Linked DNA regions of Elephas maximus indicus. The protein of the gene in region 2 purifies or fractionates together with the protein of the main gene of each other region. This does not show direct contact. Links are inferred from orthologs where the notes say so. Each region holds a gene or a part of one and is shown on either strand. Other genes may lie near its edges.

The links. The genes of interacting proteins can lie anywhere in the genome.
Region 1: the proteins of mitotic-spindle organizing protein 2B (region 2) and TUBGCP5 purify together in Homo sapiens (affinity purification with mass spectrometry; 3 studies listed by BioGRID and IntAct, counting the BioPlex papers as one, with this or other methods). This does not show direct contact. The link is inferred for Elephas maximus indicus from reciprocal best matches to the Homo sapiens genes MZT2B and TUBGCP5.

Annotation. Positions count from the first base shown.
Region 1 is NC_064831.1:105,971,176-105,974,918, forward strand, and holds the start of TUBGCP5 (gamma-tubulin complex component 5), read right to left. Parts: upstream 2,434-3,743; 5' UTR 2,384-2,433; coding exon 2,238-2,383; intron 1-2,237. UniProt on the Homo sapiens protein: Component of the gamma-tubulin ring complex (gTuRC) which mediates microtubule nucleation.
Region 2 is NC_064840.1:21,597,624-21,601,366, reverse strand, and holds the start of mitotic-spindle organizing protein 2B, read left to right. Parts: upstream 1-993; 5' UTR 994-1,335; coding exon 1,336-1,499; intron 1,500-1,666; coding exon 1,667-1,815; intron 1,816-2,607; coding exon 2,608-2,772; intron 2,773-3,743. Other genes in the region: SMPD4 (sphingomyelin phosphodiesterase 4), read right to left, coding at 650-724. UniProt on the Homo sapiens protein: Required for the recruitment and the assembly of the gamma-tubulin ring complex (gTuRC) at the centrosome.

The DNA of each region.
Region 1 (3,743 bases), on a different chromosome or scaffold from region 2:
GTTCTAACCCGTGCTGAGAATATGCACTTTCACCCCAGAGACACGGAATCAGAATCTACAGTTTCACAAGATCCCCAGGTAATTCTTATGTATGATAAAATTTTGAGAACCACTACAGTCCTAGCGGTTCTGGTTCTCAGAACTGGTCCCTAACCAGCAGTATTAGCATCGACCCGGGAACTTGTTGGAGATGCAAATTTGCAGCAGCGGTTTGAAACAGAATGAAATAGTTTGAAGCCATAGTTGGAACTGACTTGAAAGCAATGGGTTTTTTACTTCACACTATAGGGTTACTATGAGTTGGAATTGACTCAAGGGCAATGGGTATGGTTTTTGAGTTTTTTTTGGGGGGGGGTGGGGGCTATAATTGTTAGATTTGTTTCTGTCTTCCTGAAGGATAAACCCAAACACCCATTGCTGTTGAGTCAATTCAACTCATAGTGACCCTACAGGACAGAGTAGAACTGCCTCTTAGGATTTCCAAGGTGTAATCTTTACGGAAGCAGACATCTTTATCTTTCTCCTGAGCCGCTGGTGAGTTCGAAAGACTGACCTTTTGCTTAGCAGCCGAGCACTTAACCACTGCGCTACTAGGGCCCCTTTCCTCAAGGATAGAGGATATATTTTACCTATCTGTGAATTTCTCGGGCCTAAATCAGGTCATCATGAGTCAGAATGGACTTAGCAGGTGACTAAGGATAACAACAAAACATGGCCACAGTTTTCAAAATGTAAATGTGAATTGTTTATTTTTAAAGCATCATAAAATTACTTTTTCTTTCATTTTTAGTATCAAAGCCAGTAATCAGTACTTAAAATAAGAAGCAAATTATACTACCAAAAACCACATCTAATTCTATTCCTGTAATTGGCTGTGTGGGAATACCACTTTACCTACCATAATTTAGTTTCTCCATCTGTAGAAGACAGTAACTTCTAATGCCTTTCCTAACTCTAAAAAGGCATCTACCTACCACCATTTATAAATATTAATAGAAAAGTCATTTGGGACAGGGAATTTAAATTTGTCTTCTATGAGCTACTTCACACTGTGTTATTTCTACAAGTTAAATTTAAGAATTTAGTTTACTGCAGAAACTTGGCATGCTTTCGTGGGTTTGGAAGCCCTCTATTCTTATTATAATCCAAGTAGGCCCTTTACGGAGGAGCCCTGGTGGTGCAGTGGTTAAAGAGCCCAGTTGCTAACCGAAAGGTAGGCAGTTTGAACCCACCAGCCACTCTATGTGAGCAAGGATGTGGCAGCTTCCATAAAGATTTACAGCCTTGGAAACCCTACGTGTCAGACCTACTCTGTCCTTTAGGGTTGCTATGAGTCGGAATTGACTCACTGGCTGTGGTTTAGGCACTTTATGACCATTGAAGTTAATAATCAAAATTATAATTTTTGAAAAACTGTTTAGTGTTCAAGAAGATTTTCACTCAATTTAAACAGAATATTAACATTGACTAACTCATCTTTGAGTAATAATTCCATTACAGGTAATGATCATAACAGTATTGTCTAGTTTACATCTTCCATAAAGATTACTTCAACCTAAATATCTAAGTTGCATAAATCTTTAAAAGATGATTAAACCTTTAATTTAATTAATTAAAAGTTAATTAGATGAGCTGTATTAGAAGCTGTATTCGGCGACTTTGGGCACTCTGTGCCAGTAACTGTTCTAGGTGCTGGGACACAGCGATGATCAAAACTGATGAAGGTCCCTGTCCTCGTCGAATCTGCATTCTAACTGGAGGTGGGGGTGCTGGGGCGCGCATTTCCTATCTTGAGGGAGGTACCACCCTACACAGGAGGTGGGCGATACAAACAGCGGACGACAGATAAATTCTCCAACGCGTTACAGTGCGCACTCTGGGGGAAAAAGGAGCGCAGAGGGAGGCAGATCTGGACTGAGCCAGTGAGGGCACGATTCCAAGCAGGGTGCGATCCTGTCTTCCCGTAAGGGCTCACCCCCCGAGCGCAGGGAACCCCAGGGAACAGGACAGGCAGACCCGCTGTCCGGGGGCGCACGTCCTAGGACGCGGGCCGACCTCAGCGGCTCAGGCGCAGCTGCAGCGCGCGAACGTCACCGCGACAGGGGCACGGGGGCACCGGCGAGCCCCCCTCGAGGCCACCCCGCCACCCAGGCACCCAGGCCCCACCGGCAGCGCCCGCCGAGCCCAGAGCTCCCTCGGGCTGCACCCGGGGCTCCACCGCGCGGCGGGGACCACACCTGAAGTTGGACCAGGCGAAGTGCTGGGCGAGCTGGAAGTTGGGGTCCGCCTCGTCCTGGAGGCCTGTCACTCGCCGGACCAGCTCGCGCACTTGTAGCTCCTGCTGTCGCTCCAGGCGGCTCCAAGGCGGCCGAGGCCCGGCCATGCCCTCCCGCCGTCGGCGCCGGAGCCACAGGCTGGGTCTGACGAGGTTACAGTTCCTCTCGCGATAATTGGTGCGGACTCGGCCTCGGGCCTCCGCGAGATTCCGGCTCTCGCGAGAGTCAGCGCTCCCGCCACACGGGGCGCGCGGGGGTCAGAGGTTGTGCGCATGTCGGGGCATGGCTGCCGGATGGTCGGGGGCGGCGTGTGGGTTCCCAGTAGGAGCGCGTGGGTCGGGGGTAGTCGGGGGGCGCTGTGTGGGTTCCCAGCAGGAACGGGTGGGTCGGGGGCGGCGTGTGGGTTCCCAGCAGGAGCGGGTGGGTCGGGGCCGGGGTGCCGGGTGGTCGGGGGCGGCGCGTGGGTTCCCAGTAGGAGCGCGTGGGTCGGGGGTAGTCGGGGGGCGCTGTGTGGGTTCCCAGCAGGAACGGTTGGGTCGGGGGCGGCGTGTGGGTTCCCAGGAGGAGCGCGTGGGTCGAGACCGGGCTGCCGGGTGGTCGGGGGCAACGTGTGGGTTCCCAGTAGGAGCGCGTGGGTCGGGGCCGGGGTGCCAGGTGGTCGGGGTCAACGTGTGGGTTCCCAGCAGGAGTGCGTGGGTCGGGGACGGCGTGTGGGTTCCCAGCAGGAGCGCGTGGGTCGGGGGTGGTCAGGGGGCGGCGTGTGGGTTCCCAGCAGGAGCGCGTGGGTCGGGGGTGGTCGGGGGGCGGTGTGTGGGTTCCCAGTAGGAGCGCGTGGGTCGGGGCCAGGGTGCGGGGTTGGTTGGGGGGCGGCGTGTGGGTTTCCAGTAGGAGCGCGTGGGTCGGGGCCGGGCTGTGGGGTGGTTGGGGGCAGCGTGTGGGTTCCCAGCAGGAGCGCGTGGGTCGGGCCAGGCTGCGAGGTGGTTGGGGGCAGCATGTGGGTTCCCAGTAGGAGCGCGTGTGTCGGGACCGGGCTGCCGGGTGGTCGGGGGACGGCGTGTGGGTTCCCAGTAGGAGCGCCTGGGTCGGCAGTGGTCGGGGGGCGGCGTGTGGGTTTTCCAGTAGGAGCGCATGGGTGAGTCTGAAAGTGTTGGGGGGGGGGCAGTTTTACCCGAAGAGCCCCTGGGTGGTGCAAACGGTTAATGTGCTCAGCTGCGACTGAAAGGTTGCGGGATCAAGTCCCCCCAGAGGCGCCTCAGAAAAGCTTGGCAATCTGTTTTCGAAACCGCAGCCTTTGGAGACCCTGTGGGGCACAGTTACGGTCTGATGCAGGGGGGCGCAGTGAGTTAGCGTTGACCGCAGCCCTTGGAAACCCTGTGGGGTACTGCTGTGCTCTGATGCATGGGGGTGCGGTGAGTTAGAGTTGACCGCAGCCCTTGGAGACCCTGTGGGGTGCAGTTGTACTTTGAT
Region 2 (3,743 bases):
ATCTTTCCAAGAAGCTGTTTCCCCGCACACTCTGTCCTCCCAGCGTGCAGCATCCACGCTCCTCCCAGTCACACCCCTCCGCGACTGTGCAACAAGCGTTTGTTTTATCCCGCCCCTTAAACACCCACTTTCTTCAGGAGCTGCTTCACACCCTGCTGTGGGGTTTGTTCTGAGGCCGGTAGCTGCTCCCGCCCTAGGCGAAGCAGCGGCATCCTCCCGTTTGTCGCTCACAACTGTCCTGTGAAGTGGGCATCGGGCCCTCATGTTGCAGAGGAGAACTGAAGCTTGGAGCAGTCGAGTCACATAGGAAGGAAGGGTCGGGCTGAGACCCAAACCCAGTCTTCCTCCCACACCACTCCCTGAGCCACAAGGCACAGCTTTAACTCGAAGCTCTCCTTCCTTGAACTCGTTAAACGAATGTTAACCGAGCACCTACCGGGACAGGTGTGCGAGCCGCCCGAATAAGTGACATGGAGGTGCAGCCCCGACCCTAGGCCGCCCCCGCCCGCCCCGGCCGGTGCAGAGACGCTGGGATCCAGCCCGAGTCCTGGGGCTCATGGAGGGGCGGCGACGCCCGGTGGGCCTCGGCAGGGACGTCAGGAAGCCGCCACGGTGCAGGGATGTCTCGCGGGCGGCTCCCACCACTCACCTGGGGCGCCCACAGCGCCGTTCGATTCAGGGCCCAACGCCGCCGTTCCGAAACCCAGCGCCTAAGTGTCGTCATCAAACTGCGCGTGATGTTACACCCCCAGCCCTGGCCAGGCGGGAAACGCGCTGCTACCCCTTCAGGAACCTGACTTAAAATGCGCGTGCGCAGAGGTAAGGCCTCCTGAGTTTGTGGGCGTCCGCCACGGAATGCGCGTGCGCAATGGGGGCGTTTGAGCCCTATACGCGGGAGCTCGTGCGCCATCTCCCTGGCCAGGAGTGCGCGTGCGCATAAGCAGAGGTCGCTTATTAGGCCCACCGAGGAGCGCCTCCTAGTGGTGAACAGGCACCTAACGATTACATGTGGCGCAGAAGACGTAGCAAGCGTTTATTGAGCGCCTACTATGTGCTCGACACTGGGCTGAGCGCTGATACTCGAACAAGCACGACCAACGCAGTCTAGCCCGGAATCGCCCAGGAGCGGATCCGGGCGGTTCATCTTGGGACCCCCTAGCCGATGCACAATAGGCGCTTAATAAATGCTACGGGGTCGGATGGCGGCACGGACGGAGTCCCGGCCCCCCTGCCCTCGCAGGTTTGGCGGCGGAAACGGCCAGGAGGGGGCGCTGTGGCGCGGAAGGCGGGGCCGAGGCGCGGGCGCCCAGTGCGCGCGCAGTTCCCGCCGCGCTGATGGCGGCGCCGGGCTCCGGGCCGGGGCAGGGGCCGCCGGCGGGGCTGGAGGCAGCCCTGCAGAAGCTGGTGCTGCGGCGAAAGAAGGTGCTGAGCGCCGAGGAGATGGAGCTCTACGAGCTGGCGCAAGCGGCGGGCGGCGCCATCGACCCCGACGTTTTCAAGTGAGCGGGTGCGGGAGGCTTGGCGCTCGGCCGACCCCGGCTCCGCTGGCCTGGAGGAGTCCCGCCCTTAACTGGCGGCCACTGTAGGGATGGGGTCCTGCGGGCGCGCCGAGCAGGCCCGGCCCCGGCTAGTGGGCTCACTGCGCCCGCTTTTTTGTTCTCGCCAGGATCCTGGTCGACCTGCTGAAGCTGAACGTGGCCCCGCTTGCTGTCTTCCAGATGCTCCAGTCCATGTGTGCCGGGCAGAGGCTGGCGAGCGAGCCCGCGGACCCTGCAGCCCTTCCTCTGCCCGCGGCCAGCGTGCCTGAGACTCGAGGTCAGAGCTGGGGCCGCCGGCACAGGGAGAGGGCAGGACGTGCGTAGAGGCTTGGCGCGGAGCGGCCAGACCTTTCTGTTGGTTTTGCTTCTGGAGCCGCAGGGCCCATTGCAAGGGCTTGCTCCGTGATCGCTGCTGCCCTCGAGGGGGCACCTCCAAATCTGGGGTGCTCGGGGAGGGTGCCCCAGGGCAGCCCAAGCAGGCCAGCGCTCCTCTGGACCCTTTGCATCCCCAGCACTCTTCCCGCCTCTTCTCTATACCTTCATTTCACAAACACGGGGGACAAGATGGTTTTGGTCCCTGTCCTCGGGGGGTGGGGCAGGCAGAAGCTTTCCTGGCACCCCCTTGCTCATGCCGCACTCCAGCCCAGGCCCTTCCTAGGGGTCTGGACTGCAGGGTGGGGGCCTACAGTGGCCCCTAGCTTTTCTAGAACATGCAGCACTCCCAGCTTGCGGGGATGCAGAGGTGACTGTGGGGTGCATAGGTGCTGGAACCACAGTGCCTGCTCCAAATCACCCTCCGTGTGTGTCGTTTCTGCCCCCCGTGGCCATTGGAGACTCAATGAGACTCAGTAGAACTTCCCAGGCAAGTGACAGGGGTCCAGGGCTTCCTCCCTGCCCAGAGGCCTGTGGGCACTGCACGGGCGTCCTGGGAAGGGGCTGGTGTCTGGGTGGTGGGAGTGCAGGGCCCTGGGTGCCTGCGCCCGTCCTAACAGGCCCTGGGCACGTGCGCTCCAGCCTCCACACTGACCATGCTCTGTCTGCTCTCTTTGTGTCTCTCTCCGACCTCCAGAGGCCTCCCTTCTCTCTGCCAAGAACAGTAGCCCCCCTGCAAGGCCCTCCTTTCCCGCGGCCTCTCCGGTTCTGCTCCACGGCCCGGCTGCCACGCTCTCGCCTCTCTCTCCGGGGCCCCCTGGTTCCCTCCGGTTCTCTTGCTGCCTGTTCTCTCCTTTTGCAGGTTGCGTTTATTGGCTTATCTCTGGGGGTTGGTGCTCTCATTTCCGTGGAAACGGCTGTGGCCCCAGCCGGCCAGATCAGCCTCAAGCTGCAAGGGCAGTACCACGAGCCAGCCGTGTCACCGTGTAGACACAGAGGGCACGATCTCAAGGTTAGAGATGACCTGCAGAACTTGTAGGCCATGCATTCAGACAGGTGTTAGGGGGAGGGACCTGCACCCCCACACCTCCTAGCTAATCCCGCTAGGTGTTAGCTAGGTGAGACTCCAAGGGATGACAACAGGCAGAGAAGCAGGGAGAGGCCTGAGGACAGCATGGGTGCTGTGGCAAGCACAGCCTTTGGCCTGGACATGCTTCAGCCTCTCGGAAGCTGTCACCTGGACAGGCTCCTAGGCCTCGGGGAACCTCCCGGAGGGTGAGGTGGAGATGCTGGTCCGTCCCCCAATTTCCCTGGCAGTGGTGCATGACTGACTTGTGCTTGCGAGTCCCCTTTCCTGCCTGGTGTCTGAGCCAGGCTACATTCCAGGCCTGGTGGTGTGATGAGACTGGGGTCCTAGAGCCAGGGGGTGGTGAGGGCCTGAGGTCCCCTAGGGTGCTGGTGTTGTGCCTCCCTCATGCCCCTCCCCGCATCCCCACCTCGCTATTGCAGGTGCCACCGGAAACTCAGGGCATGGCTGTCTCCCACACCTCCCTTCTTGAGGCCCTCCCCACAGACCAGCAGCCACCCTCCTGTGCCTCACTGCTCAGGCCCAGGGAGGTGCAGGGAAGGCCGATGATAGGAGCAGGAGTGGGTGGATTGCCAGGCTTCGATGAGGGAGCAGAACATTGCCTTGGGCCAGGGCATCCTACTTCTTGGAGGAGACAGAGTACTTATGCTTTGTAAACCTGGGTGCTGGGCACAGTAGGGAGGCAGGATGGACAAAGAGACAGGGGTGGCAGTGGGGCCAAGTCCAGTCCTGGGCAGCTCTGCTGG